3 linked regions of the Mus musculus genome follow. The protein of the gene in region 2 interacts with the protein of the main gene of each other region in a pairwise test. Links are inferred from orthologs where the notes say so. Each region holds a gene or a part of one and is shown on either strand. Other genes may lie near its edges.

Evidence for each region. The genes of interacting proteins can lie anywhere in the genome.
Region 1: the proteins of Zcchc10 (region 2) and Sfmbt1 interact in binary tests that used the Homo sapiens proteins (3 or more experiments, as listed by UniProt). The two-hybrid records come from large-scale screens. The link is inferred for Mus musculus from reciprocal best matches to the Homo sapiens genes ZCCHC10 and SFMBT1.
Region 3: the proteins of Zcchc10 (region 2) and Prr13 interact in binary tests that used the Homo sapiens proteins (3 or more experiments, as listed by UniProt). The two-hybrid records come from large-scale screens. The link is inferred for Mus musculus from reciprocal best matches to the Homo sapiens genes ZCCHC10 and PRR13.

What each region holds. Positions count from the first base shown.
Region 1 is NC_000080.6:30,714,432-30,718,431, reverse strand, and holds the start of Sfmbt1 (scm-like with four MBT domains protein 1), read right to left. Parts: upstream 2,818-4,000; 5' UTR 2,557-2,817; intron 2,313-2,556; exon of another isoform or gene 1,844-2,312; intron 1-1,843. UniProt on the Homo sapiens protein: Histone-binding protein, which is part of various corepressor complexes. Mediates the recruitment of corepressor complexes to target genes, followed by chromatin compaction and repression of transcription.
Region 2 is NC_000077.6:53,323,530-53,327,504, forward strand, and holds the start of Zcchc10 (zinc finger CCHC domain-containing protein 10), read left to right. Parts: upstream 1-1,159; 5' UTR 1,160-1,171; coding exon 1,172-1,212; intron 1,213-3,739; coding exon 3,740-3,898; intron 3,899-3,975.
Region 3 is NC_000081.6:102,457,969-102,461,986, reverse strand, and holds the start of Prr13 (proline-rich protein 13), read right to left. Parts: upstream 2,818-4,018; 5' UTR 2,732-2,817; intron 2,524-2,731; exon of another isoform or gene 2,406-2,523; intron 1,880-2,405; 5' UTR 1,860-1,879; coding exon 1,841-1,859; intron 1,618-1,840; coding exon 1,268-1,617; intron 1-1,267. UniProt on the Homo sapiens protein: Negatively regulates TSP1 expression at the level of transcription. This down-regulation was shown to reduce taxane-induced apoptosis.

The DNA of each region.
Region 1 (4,000 bases), on a different chromosome or scaffold from region 2:
GCAGTATACCCATATTATGAATTCACTAGACTTTTAAAAAAATCAATTTTCATTCAATTGTCTTTGCAAATTCTAAGCTTAACAAAATTAATTCATCTGACACCTTTAACTCTTAACTTGTTCAAAAATTCATAATTTCTTCCTTCAAACCTACTCTCTACAAATCTGTATCCCAAAATGGGAAATGATATAATAATATAACGACTATAAACATAAAGACCCCCAGAAACCACAATCCTAACACACCAAAAACTGCTCAGTTAAAAATGTCCTCCTGAAGCCGGGCAGTGGTGTGGTGGCGCATGCCTTTAATCCCAGCACTCGGGAGACAGAGGCAGGCGGATTTCTGAGTTCGAGGCCAGCCTGGTCTACAGAGTGAGTTCCAGGACAGCCAGGGCTATATAGAGAAATCCTGTCTTGGGGGGGGGGGGGAGTCCTTCTGACCACAAAGACCAAAGGTCATAGTCTTAAGACCCTGTAGATACTGGAACCCTACACCAGTACAGCATCAGGACCAAAATGACATCTCCAAGGATACCTGCTATCCTTCAATAGTTAATACTGCCCTTTCACGTTCTAAAGGGTCCTGCTTCAGACAAGATCCATTGGTTGAGTTAGAAGTCAGGCCAGAGGTTGCCTTAGGGAAAGGGCAGGTGTTTACTCAATTAGAGGAATCCCTTGGTGGGGGGAGGGCTGGAAATGCTCTGTTCTGTATCTTAATGTGTATATGGCCATCAAGACTTATGCATATGTAAAACAAGGCCGAACTGTCCTTTCCCGATTTCATTGTTAAACTGTGAAAGGTGTAACTTCTTAAATATATTGAAATGCCTTCTTTAAAAGTCTGTGTTCAAATAAAGTCCACAGAATTATTCTGGATTTAGCTAACAAGATGTTTTTTCCAATCTATTTTTAAAAAGACACATATTGTGAGTGATTTTATGTAGATAGAACCTTTCAAAACTTTTTTAAAATCTCATTTTAAGAAGTCTCCAAATTTTAGAACCCAAAGCATGGTGATCTACTTATCCCACTTTTGCAAATAATAAGGAAGATAAAAAAAAACAAAAACAAAAAACAAAAAACTACACTGGGTAAGACACCTACCCAAAGATAAAGTGGCTCGCCAATGGTAACTGAGTAATAACCTTATAACACAACTGGCTCCTTCTCTCAGGTCCCTCTAGTTCCAACTGGCTGTTCCTGACACTGCAAACAAATCTGAACTCTGACTCTACCTGTGGCCTAAGAGAGTTCATTTGCTGCGAGTTAACAGGCCCCAATGTGTACTTACGAAAACACGTTCCTCCTCCTCCACCCCATCTAGACAGCTGACACAACAGTTACACGCTCAAAGCATTCATTTTGCTTCAGATGAAATAAAGTATGACATCTTAAAAATCGCGGTTCAGGAGAGGCCATACGCAGATAATGACTAATTCCATGTTACTTCCTTCAGATCTTTTTGATGAATACAGCAATCACAAGACACACACCACTTGGGGCCAGTAACTGCTGTGAGTGACCCGCGGGGAAGAGCGCCCACCAAGTTAAAAAAAAAAAAAAAGCCCTACAGGACGCGTCCCACCCCACTGCACCGCAAGCTCTAAAGATGACCTGGCTTTGACAGCTTAGTTTGAGACCCCACGCGAACAGCTGGCATCTCGGGGGGGAAACTTAACACGACGTCTATCCTTTCCGCGGGAATTTATCCCGAGTCTCACAAGGCTTTTCTGCTCCGCAAAGAGCAGGCCTTGCTTCCCAGGACACAGGGCTCGCCCCTCCAGCGTCTTTACAGCGAACAAAACAAGACTTGGGAACAGAAAACGAAACGGTCACGGACCTGCCGAGCGGCCTCAGGACGCTCCCCAGATCCGCGCAGGGGGTCGGGCGGCGGTGCCTCCCCAGGCGAAGCGCCTGAGAGGCCGGAGCCACCGGTTGCGGTGGAGGCTCAGACTCGGCCACCGCGCTTGCTGTCGCCGCCGCCGCTGCTGCTGCTGCCGCTGCCGCCGCCGCCTAGGCCCTGAGAAGTTGAGCGGCCGCGCGGGCTGCGGGTTCGCGCCCCGCCCGGAGCGAGCCCGGGGGGGCGGGTCCGCGGGGGCTCGGCGGGAGGCCGCTCGATGGGGGCAGGGGACCGGAGCCTGCAAGTTGGGAGCCCGCTACCGCCACCCGGCCACTTTGGCCTCTCGCGCCCAGCTGGGCTGACGCGCGCCGCTCGCCCGTTCTCCCTCTCTCTCTCTCTCTCCCGGCGCCGCCGGCCTCCGCCGCGTCCGCGAGGTGCCCGGGCGCGTCCCCGCAGCCCCCGCCGGCCGACGCGCCGAGCCTCGGGACCGCGCCAGGCCGCGCGCGCGGGCGCCGCGTCCCCCCACCCACTCCAGTCGTCCCCCCCGCCCAACGCGCCGCCGCCGCCCGTTGGCGCCTCAGATCGCGCGCTCGCTGCCCGCTGGCTCCCGGCGCTTCCCGCTGGCAAAGTTGCTGGGCCTCTTTGGGAGGGCGCCGCACCACCCCTCAGGCCGCCGCGCGGGAAGGCCCAGCCGGCCGCCCCGCTTTTTTTACCTGACGGGAGTTTTCGCGCGCGCGCTTGCTCGCTCTCCCCGCTCGCTCGCACGCCCGCCCGCTCGCTCGGTTTTCTTTCTTTCCTTCTTGGCGCTCGCCCGCGCGGGGCGCCTTTTCCGCTCGCGCTGCTCGCGCCCTCCTTCCTGCTGAGCCCGGCAGAGCGGGGCGGCCGGCAGCTCTCCCCGCCCCCCTGCACCCGCGCTCCGGCGGAGGCGGCGGCGGCGGCGCTCCGCGCTCCGACTCATTCCAATATGGCACGGACGCAAGGCGCATGCGCCCGCGGCCCCCCCACTCCCTCCCCCAGCTCCGCGGTCCTCCCTCCCGGCAACCCGCGCCCCTCGCTTCGCGCGCGTGGCACTCCCGACCCGGCCTCCCCAAGCCCACCGGCTCGCGGAGCTGGAGCTGCACGGGAGACGACGCGTCCGCGGGCCCGGGTCCATAACCCGCCGCTTTGCTCGCGTCCCCCTGTCCGCACCTCGCCGAAAGACACCCGCGAGGCCGTGGCGCTGGGCGTCGCGGCGTGAGCCTCTGATCCCCGACGGCGCCATGGACGGAGAACGGCTTGGAGACGGCGTCCTCGGGCTCCGGAGGCGCGTCCTGGCCTTGCTTGGGATTCTGGAAAGAAAGACCTCACCTCGGGCTTCTGGACAGAGCGGCTCGGGACCCCGCGAAGTCCCTGATCCATCCGTCCCTGGCGAAGCGCGCCACTGTAGCCCGCACGTGACCACCTCGAGCAAGATGGTATTAGCAGAGAGGCAGCAGTTCTGCAGGTCCCCAAGGGGCGCATACCGTGGCCGAGGGAGCTGCGCCCGCCCGCCGGACCACGTCGGGAATCCTACACGTTCTTTGAGATCTAGCAGGGCACTCTAGTGCTCGTCTACCGAGTCCGACTCGAACGCCTCTACGTACCTCATGTCCAGGCTCAGTAAATGAGTTGTCCTGCCGCAAAGGGGCACAGGTTGACCTAAGAGCTTCAGGAGAAGCTCAAAAATGCTGTGAATCAGCCTCGAATCGGAAGGTGCCCACAGGCAGTTACGTTCGGCTACTCAACCCTTCTTCAGCGAGCACAGGTGTCAATAGGAAGCACACCCACCTGCTCCAGAAAGTTCCCTCAGAAGAAAATCCCAGCGCCTGTGGGATCCCGGAGTGCCAATGAGACCAGACTCTCCAGCCTAAGATGGCCTCAGTCAGGGGCTCCTACTCAAGGAAGACTCCTTTCTTTTAGAGAAGAGGAGGCGAGACACACACACACACACACACACACACACACACACACACACACACACACACGAAGGTCTTGGGATGCTCCCATTAGCATCTTTCTCATGTTTTTGGGCAACCTTGGGAAATATGCACATTACAAACGCCAGATGATTTTTTTCTTTTTGTAAGTGTAAGCACCATTGAAAAGACAAAGTAACAAGAAAAAAAAATAAAGAAGAAT
Region 2 (3,975 bases):
TAAAAAAAAAAAAAAAAAAAAAGAGGGGCCTGGAGAGATGGCTCAGAGGTTAAGAGCACTGACTACTCTTCCAGAGGTCCTGAGTTCAATCCCAAGCAAACACATGGTGTTTCTGTCTGGTCCTGTCTCCCTCTCCACTCCCCTTACCCCTCCTCCTCTCTTAAGACTCAACCAAACTGAGTAGAATTCAGAGATCTGCATGCCTGTGTCTCCTGAGTGCTGGGATTAAAGGAATGTGCCACCACACCTGGAACTAAATTTCTTTACCTGAAACTTTCTCTGTACCATGCTGGCCTGGAACTCATGTCTGTACTCCCATCACTTATGATTGATTCCTTTCCAGAGCAGCCATGTTGCTGGATTAAAATTCCTCTACACAGCCGGGCAGTGGTGGCGCATGCCTTTAATCCCAGCACTTGGGAGGCAGAGGCAGGCAGATTTACAAGTTCGAGGCCAGCCTGGTCTACAGAGTGAGTTCCGGGACAGCCAGGGCAACACAGAGAAACCCTGTCTCAAAAAAAGACCAAAAAATCCTCTACGCAGATCTTTGAAAGAAAAATCAAAAACAAAAAAAAAAAAACCAAAACAAAACAAAAAACCAACCAAACAACAACAAAATCAGAATGATCCAGTCATCATGACGACACCTGTAATTTCTTGGGGTTTTTGGTGTTTTGTTTTTTGAGACAGTTTGTGTGTGCAGCCTTGGTTTTCCTGAAACTCCCTGTGTAGATGAGGCTGGCCGTGAATCCCATCAAGTGTTGGAATTAAAGATGTGGGCCATTACTTCCTGGCCTTTTTGGTTTTGTTTGGTTTGGTTTTGAGCTAGGGCCATAAGTTTTCCCAGGTTGGCCTCAAAAACATAGCAATCCTCTTGCCTCAGCCTCCAAAATCCTGGATTACAGGATTTTTTTTTTTTAGGATTTTTTGAATACTACAAAATTCCACTGCATATGTATTACAGACCCCTGGTTTGAGATCACCCTTCAAGACCCTATTCATACTGAACACACAAGCCCACATTAGAAAAGACAAACCAGCTAGTGGCCACCATTAGCCTCTTCTGAATTGAGCCCGTCTGGCCCCGCCCAGGACCGCAGAGGTTTCTAAGGACCCGCCCACCGGTGCTAGTTTCCCAAAAACCCGTGCGGCAGACTCCAGCCGCTCCAAGATGGCGACTCCCATGCATCGGCTCATAGCTCGAAGGAAAGCGTAAGTGAGATGCTTGTGGGGTGTGCAGGAGGGCTGGGGGCGTGCAGACGCCTGTCCGCTAGCTAGTGAGCGGGCGCAGGCTGCTGAACTGAGCGGGATTTGAAGAGAGTTCGAAATGAATCCAAGAATTGGTCGTTGGGTGGTCTGTGTTCCTCTGTCCGGTCCACATGTCAAGGGTAGCCTGGATGCTTGATCCCACATCTTCCCTCTCAAGATCCCAAACTTTTCCCTCTTCAGCGTACCTGCCTCCTTCCTATCGCCCTTTCTAGAAACAAGCCTGTCTGCAATGCCTATTAATTCCCCATCGACCGTTTCACTTTCTGCAGCTCTCACTGTAAATAATTATTTTAGTACAATCACTCACAGACAGTTTCTCTGAAGAAAAATGTATTCAAGCTACGCAGCTTAACAGTTTTATTGTGGAACCTGTTGATACTCTAAACAAGTACAGCTAGTGGTTTAAATAGCTTTGTAGGAGCCGGATGGTGATGGTACATCCAAGCATTCAGGAGGCAGAGGTAAGCAGATTTCAGAATTCGGGGCCAGCCTGGTCTACAGAGTGAGTTCCAGGACAGCCAAGGCTACACAGAGAAACCCTGTCTCTCTAAAAACAAAACAAAGTTAAGCTTTAAAGGGGATAAGAGGCTGTGGTGAGGAAAGGCAAAAGGCCCAGTTCAAGTCAGTTCTAGAAATTCATCTGTGAGGGGTGACATTTGAAAACAGACTAAAAGCCATAGAAAGGACTGAGTCAGCAGAGGATTTGGGGAAAGATAGGAAATGGTATATTTGCTATGAGTCTGTTAGAATTTGGGGGTGGGTTGGGCAGATTTAGAGACAGGATTTGTCTGTGTAGCCCTGGCTGTCCTGGAACTCACTCTGTAGACCAGGCTGACCTCGAACTCAAGATATCTGACTGCCTTCAGTATGCTGGGATTAAAAGCTTGTGCCACCATGCCCAGTTTGAATCTCAGTAACTATCAGTCCTGGTGGCAGATGCCTTTAATCCAAGCACTGGAGAAGCAAAATCAGGTGGAGTAGCACTGAGTCAAAGCCAGCCTGATCTAAAGAGCAAACTGCAGGCCAGCCTCAGCTGTGTAGGGAGACCCTGTCTCCGAAAAGAAAAAAAACCAACCAACTCAATAACTACCCATTCAGTGGTGTAAGCGATGTAAGGGGCGGAGACCAGTTACTTGAACATGAATTTGAGTCCAGCCTGGGCAACATAATAAGACTTCATCTTAAAACCCTCCAGTAATGTCATACCCACTCTGCATGGCTGTGTGACATGCATGTCATGTTGTATTTCTCAGACCTATCAAAAGTCATAATACGAACCTGAAAGGAAACAGTTTATACATCTAATACCTGCATTGCTTCGCACTTTGCTTTTGACCTAAGCTGTGGTTTATGAGTTTAAAACCCGAGTGTTGGGCCTGACGTTGGTGGATTGTGCTTTTGATCTAAGCACTCAGGAGGCAGAAGCAAGTGGGTCTGTGAGTTCAAGGCTAGGCCAAGCTGGGTATGGTGGCTCACACTTTTAATCCTAGTATTGTGTGGCAAGTGTCTTTAACCCACTGAGCTGTCTCACCACCACCATTTTTTATTAGTAAGTTAAAAAGAATGATAGCCAGGCACAGTGGCACATGCCAGCACTTGGGAGGCAGAGGTAGATCTATGAGTTTGAGGCCAGTATGGTCTATAGATGGAGTTCCAGGGAAAAAAATCAAAAGCAGAATCAACCAACCAAATGAACAAGCTTTTTCATTTATGTGTGAATAGGAGTAGAGGTCAGAGGACAAGTCGTTGGGGGTCAGATCTTTGGGCTTACAGCAAACACCTTATCCACCCACCCTTTTCCCAGCCTTAAAAGTGTTTTAATGGGTTAGGGGGTCTGGCTCAGTAGTAGAGCATTTGTGAAGGAGGCTCTGAGTTTGATATCTAGCATTACAACAAATAAGGACCTTCATTATCCTTTGTCTTCTGAGCTAAAAATGTTGGTCCGAATACATGATTATTGGAATGGAAAAACTTAAAAAAATTTTTTTTAAAGATTTATTTCTTTATTATATGTAAGTACATTGTAGCTGTCTTCAGACACTCCAGAAGAGGGAGTCAGATCTCGTTACGGATGGTTGTGAGCCACCATGTGGTTGCTGGGATTTGAACTCTGGACCTTCGGAAGAGCAGTCAGGTGCTCTAACCCACTGAGCCATCTCACCAGCCCAAAATTTTTGTTTTTATTATTTTGCTTTGTTGAGACAGGGTCTCTTGCTCTGTAGCTCAGGCTAACTTTAAACTCAGAGCCATCCTCCCACATTGGCCTGCAAAGTGAAAGACTATAAGCATGAAATACCGGACTGGGCTTAGAAGAGCAAGACTCAGTTCCTGTTGCGCCCCAGGTTGCACGCTTTGAACACCGTTTGTGTGCTTGCTAGAGTCAACATCACGTGATACTTTAATGCTCTTCCAGGTCAGAAAGTGTCCCAAGACAAAACTTAAGGCTTGTATTCTGTTATTTTCTTTGTAGTGAAGCCAATAAGCAACATGTAAGATGTCAGAAATGCTTGGAATTTGGACATTGGACTTATGAATGCAAAGGGAAAAGAAAGTACCTACACAGACCTTCGAGAACGGCAGAGCTGAAGAAAGCTTTAAAAGAAAAAGAAAATAGATTATTGCTGCAAAGGTAGGTTTACATGTAATATCCAGGGGAACTTATAAAAATATTTACAGAATCAGCTGACCTCAAGTTTGCTGTCTTCC
Region 3 (4,018 bases), on a different chromosome or scaffold from region 2:
GTCCTCAACCTCAACACATTGCCTTCCAACCAAGTTTCCACACCTAGCTAGGACCAGGAAAGTGGAGCAGGGTGTGGGAGGCTGCTGCTACCTTAATCATCCCTCCTTGTTTGTTTTAAGGAATGACAAACTAGCCAGGTGGTGGCGCACGCCTTTAAACCCAGAGGCAGAGGCCGGCGGATTTCTTGAGTTCAAGGCCAACCTGGTCTACAAAGTGAGTTCCAGGACAGCCAGGGCTATACAGAGAAACCCTGTGTTGAAAAAAAAAAAAAAAAAAAAAAAAAAAAAAGAATGACAAACTAGAATCTCTCTGCACCTCAGGGAGGGTAGGAACGGCCACCGTGTGGGCCATGCTGTATTTCTAAGTCCCACTAGGGGAAAAAGTGGGGAAGATGGCAGAGACAGACAGATGGCTGGAGAAATCCCATCCCAGGATCCACACAGACATACCTCCATCAACTACCGTAAAAAAAAAAAAAATGTTTTTAGACTCTCGGGGTACTCTCCCTGGTTAGTGTCTCATTTCCTTCCCTACTCCCCACATGTCTACCTAAGACCCAGACTCAGGAACTAGAGCCCAGATCCACGGAGCAAACAAACACGGGCATAAAGTCTATTCGAAGCCTCAAGTTTCAGACTGAGGTCTTCCTGAGTCCTCAGGGGAACTCCCCCCCTCACTAATGGGTTCCTGTGGAAGGACTGTACTGGTCTTGTGAAGGAAAATCCCCTTTCACCCCAGGCTTTGCTGGAGGCTGAGTCACAGAAGGCTCGTCCAGGGAATTAACTCAGTACCAGGGAATACTGAAGGAGATAAAGAAAATCCAGGAACTAAGGGCCATATGACCACTCAGTAAACTATTATGCTTTGTCACTGTGCTTTGTCACTCTTTTGACATTTAGACAACCTCAGTGGGTGTGTCCAATTTACCAAAGGATACACCCGGGGTGGGTGAGGGAAGTTACTGGGAAAGAGTTAGGTAAAGAAGGTCGAGGGCTTTTGGCACAGAAATCCTCCCCGCACCCCTTCACTTTTCCTTGGCAGATGGGAGTGATCTGATGCCTCAATATTACTAAACTCCTTTCAGGAGGATCCCCTTACTTAAAGGAAAAACCATCTACATCTGCTAAAGCGACAAGGTTGCGGGCTACCGCTCCCACACACCATCGCCTGTGCCCACAAACCGTGAAAGTCCTTCCCCAACTCCTGATCACCCCTGGTCCCTCTGAACGGAGCTCCTTCCCCAGCCAGGCTCCAGATGACACTGACCTTCCCGTGCTTGTGATGCTTGTGCGACTTCTTATGAGCTTTCTTCATTTTCTTCCGAGTCTTCTTGTCTATCACGATTCCGGGACCCACCATGCCAGGAGCCGGAGGATTCACGGGGCACATGCCAGGAGCAGGTGGTGGGTATGGGGGAGGGTAGGGACCTGAGGGTTGGTATCCTGGACACCCTGGTTGTGGTACAGGATAAGGGGGACGACACGGAGGGAAAGCTGGGTTTCCCTGGGGAATTCCGGGAGGACAGGGGCCAGGGGGAAAGGCAGGATTGAGAGGTGGTGGACAGGCAGGATTGGAACCTCCTGGGCACACAACTTGGGGTGGATATGGATTCGGTCCTGGAAGAAGAATCCGAGAATAAAGATTAGAACTGTCCGGAACCTCTATCAACACATAATACAAATCACTACCGTTCTTAAGCCTTATGGAAAGGCAGAACTTGGTAACTAGCAGTGGTCCGGTGGCTTTGCTTTTGCTTGGGGCTGCGGGGATAGATAGAAACTTCCTGTTTCATTGCAAAATGGGCTGGGGCAGGTCAGAGGAGAGCCCCCAGGAACTTACCAGCATTAGGATTCCACATGTCGAGATGTTAGCTCAAGCCTAGGAAGTAAACCAGGCAAAGTCTGAAGGTTCCAGGAAGGGAGGAGGATTTTCGAGAACCCGAGCCCCACCCTACAGCCTCCACCCTACCAAGACTCTCACAGATAAACCTCCACTTAAAAATGGGCTGCACTCTGGAAACAGAGGCAGGTGGATCTCTGAGTTCCAGACCAGCCTGGTCGAAAAAGAGTTACAGGACAGCTAGAGCTACCCTGTGTCAAACCCAAAACAAAAGGAAATGAAAAAAAGTTCCCTGCTGGGCGTGGGGGTGCACACCTTTAATACCAGCACTTGGGAGGCAGAGGCAGGCGAATGAGGCCAGCCTGGTCTACAAAGTAAGTTCCAGGACAGCTGGAGCTATACAGAGAAACCCTGTCTCGAAATAACAAAAACAAACAAACAAACAAAAACAAAACAAAAAAAAAAGTTCCCTTTTTCTTTCCCGCATCCTCATAGCCTACTCTAGCCCAGGATTTAAATCACAGGAACTCTCTTCCCAGGGCCCCTCCCACTTTCACTATCTCACCTGGATGGAGAAGTCTCATTTCCCTCTCCCTGGAAAGGGACCGGAGGCCTTTAAGCATCCGTAGTGTGAGATGGGACCTAAACTCCCTGCTCGCCCCGGGGGCACCCCTGAAGTGAAGCTAAAATAAACAAATAAATAAAAATAAATAAATAAACAAACAAATAATCCCATCCTGAATATCAAGAAAGACACTCCAGGTCCCAAAACTCTTAGAACACACACACAACCCCCAAAGAGCAAATGGAGTTCTTAGTTCTCAGGAATAAATGGATCCCTGGCCCAGCTAAGAGGAGAGATGGAATTTGGGAGGCCAGATGCCCTGTCACCTTCCCAGATCGCCAGCCCGCTCCTGTCCTCCTTCTCAGTCTGGGTTCGCACTTCCTGGTCACTCCTATTCATTCTATACTTCCGCACCGCCCCTGTGACCTAGTTAATAATTATGTGATCACTTTGACACGATGATTGGAGAACTGACTTGTCAATCGCTGTGGTCCAACTAAACAAGGAGGAAACCGTTGCGCTGGCCGCCAGGCGGAGCCTTAGGGAGAAAACATTGCGTTGTGAAATACATACAGGTGAAATACGGAGACGCAGCGGAAATGCTCCTTAGGGCGGGACCGAGGCGGGGTCAGCTCCAAGCAAGGACCTGAGCCAACGAGATAAACTCTCACTGTTTTTTTTTGTTGTTGTTTTGCTTAAATTTTAAGATTTTTTTTTTTAATGTGTATGAGTGTTTTGCCTCAGTGTATGTGCACCAAGTGCCTGCTTGATGGGTAGACTTGTCTGTAACCTAGCATTTTGGAAATGGAGGAAGAGAATCAGAATTTAAAGACAATATTAGCTTCTTAGGGAACCCTACATAAAACCTCAGAGAGAGCTCTGTCATGATGGCACAACACCTTTAGTCCCTGAACTCAGGAGGCAGAGGCAGGTGAATCTCTGAGTTTGAAACCAGCATGGTCTGCATAGTGAGTTCCAAGACAGCCAGAGCCACACAGACCAGCCCTGTCTCTGACTCGGAAAATAACAACAAAAACAAACAAACAAAAAAAGGCCTCAGAGAACAAAAGGAGGAAGTTCTGCTGAGTCCCAGCCCTGGGCTTCAATGTTGCCAGCTGCTAGAACCACAGCCTGTGGTTCTTTTTTTGTAGAAAGATAAGAGACAGGGTTTCAATGTGTTCAGCAGATGGTGCAGTTATAGTTTCATGTCATTGTTCTGGGTAACTAAGTGAATTCATTTTTGGTTTTGATGTTTTTGAGACAATCTACCAGTATGACTTGGGTTGACTTTGGATGAAAAGCAGTCATCCCATATCTCTCTCTCTCTCTCTCTCTCTCTCTCTCTCTCTCTCTCTCGGGTGCTAGAAAAACAAAAGCAAGCCACAACTCTCAGAATTTTTTTTTTTTGGTTTTTCGAGACAGAGTTTCTCTGTATAGCCCTGGCTGTCCTGGAACTCACTTTGTAGACCAGGCTGGCCTCGAACTCAGAAATCCACCTGCCTCTGCCTCCCGAGTGCTAGGGTTAAAGGTGTGGGCCACCAAGCCCAGCTAACCCCAGCACTTTGCAGATAGGGCTTACAGGATCCTGAGTTCAAGGTCACCCTTGGCAACAC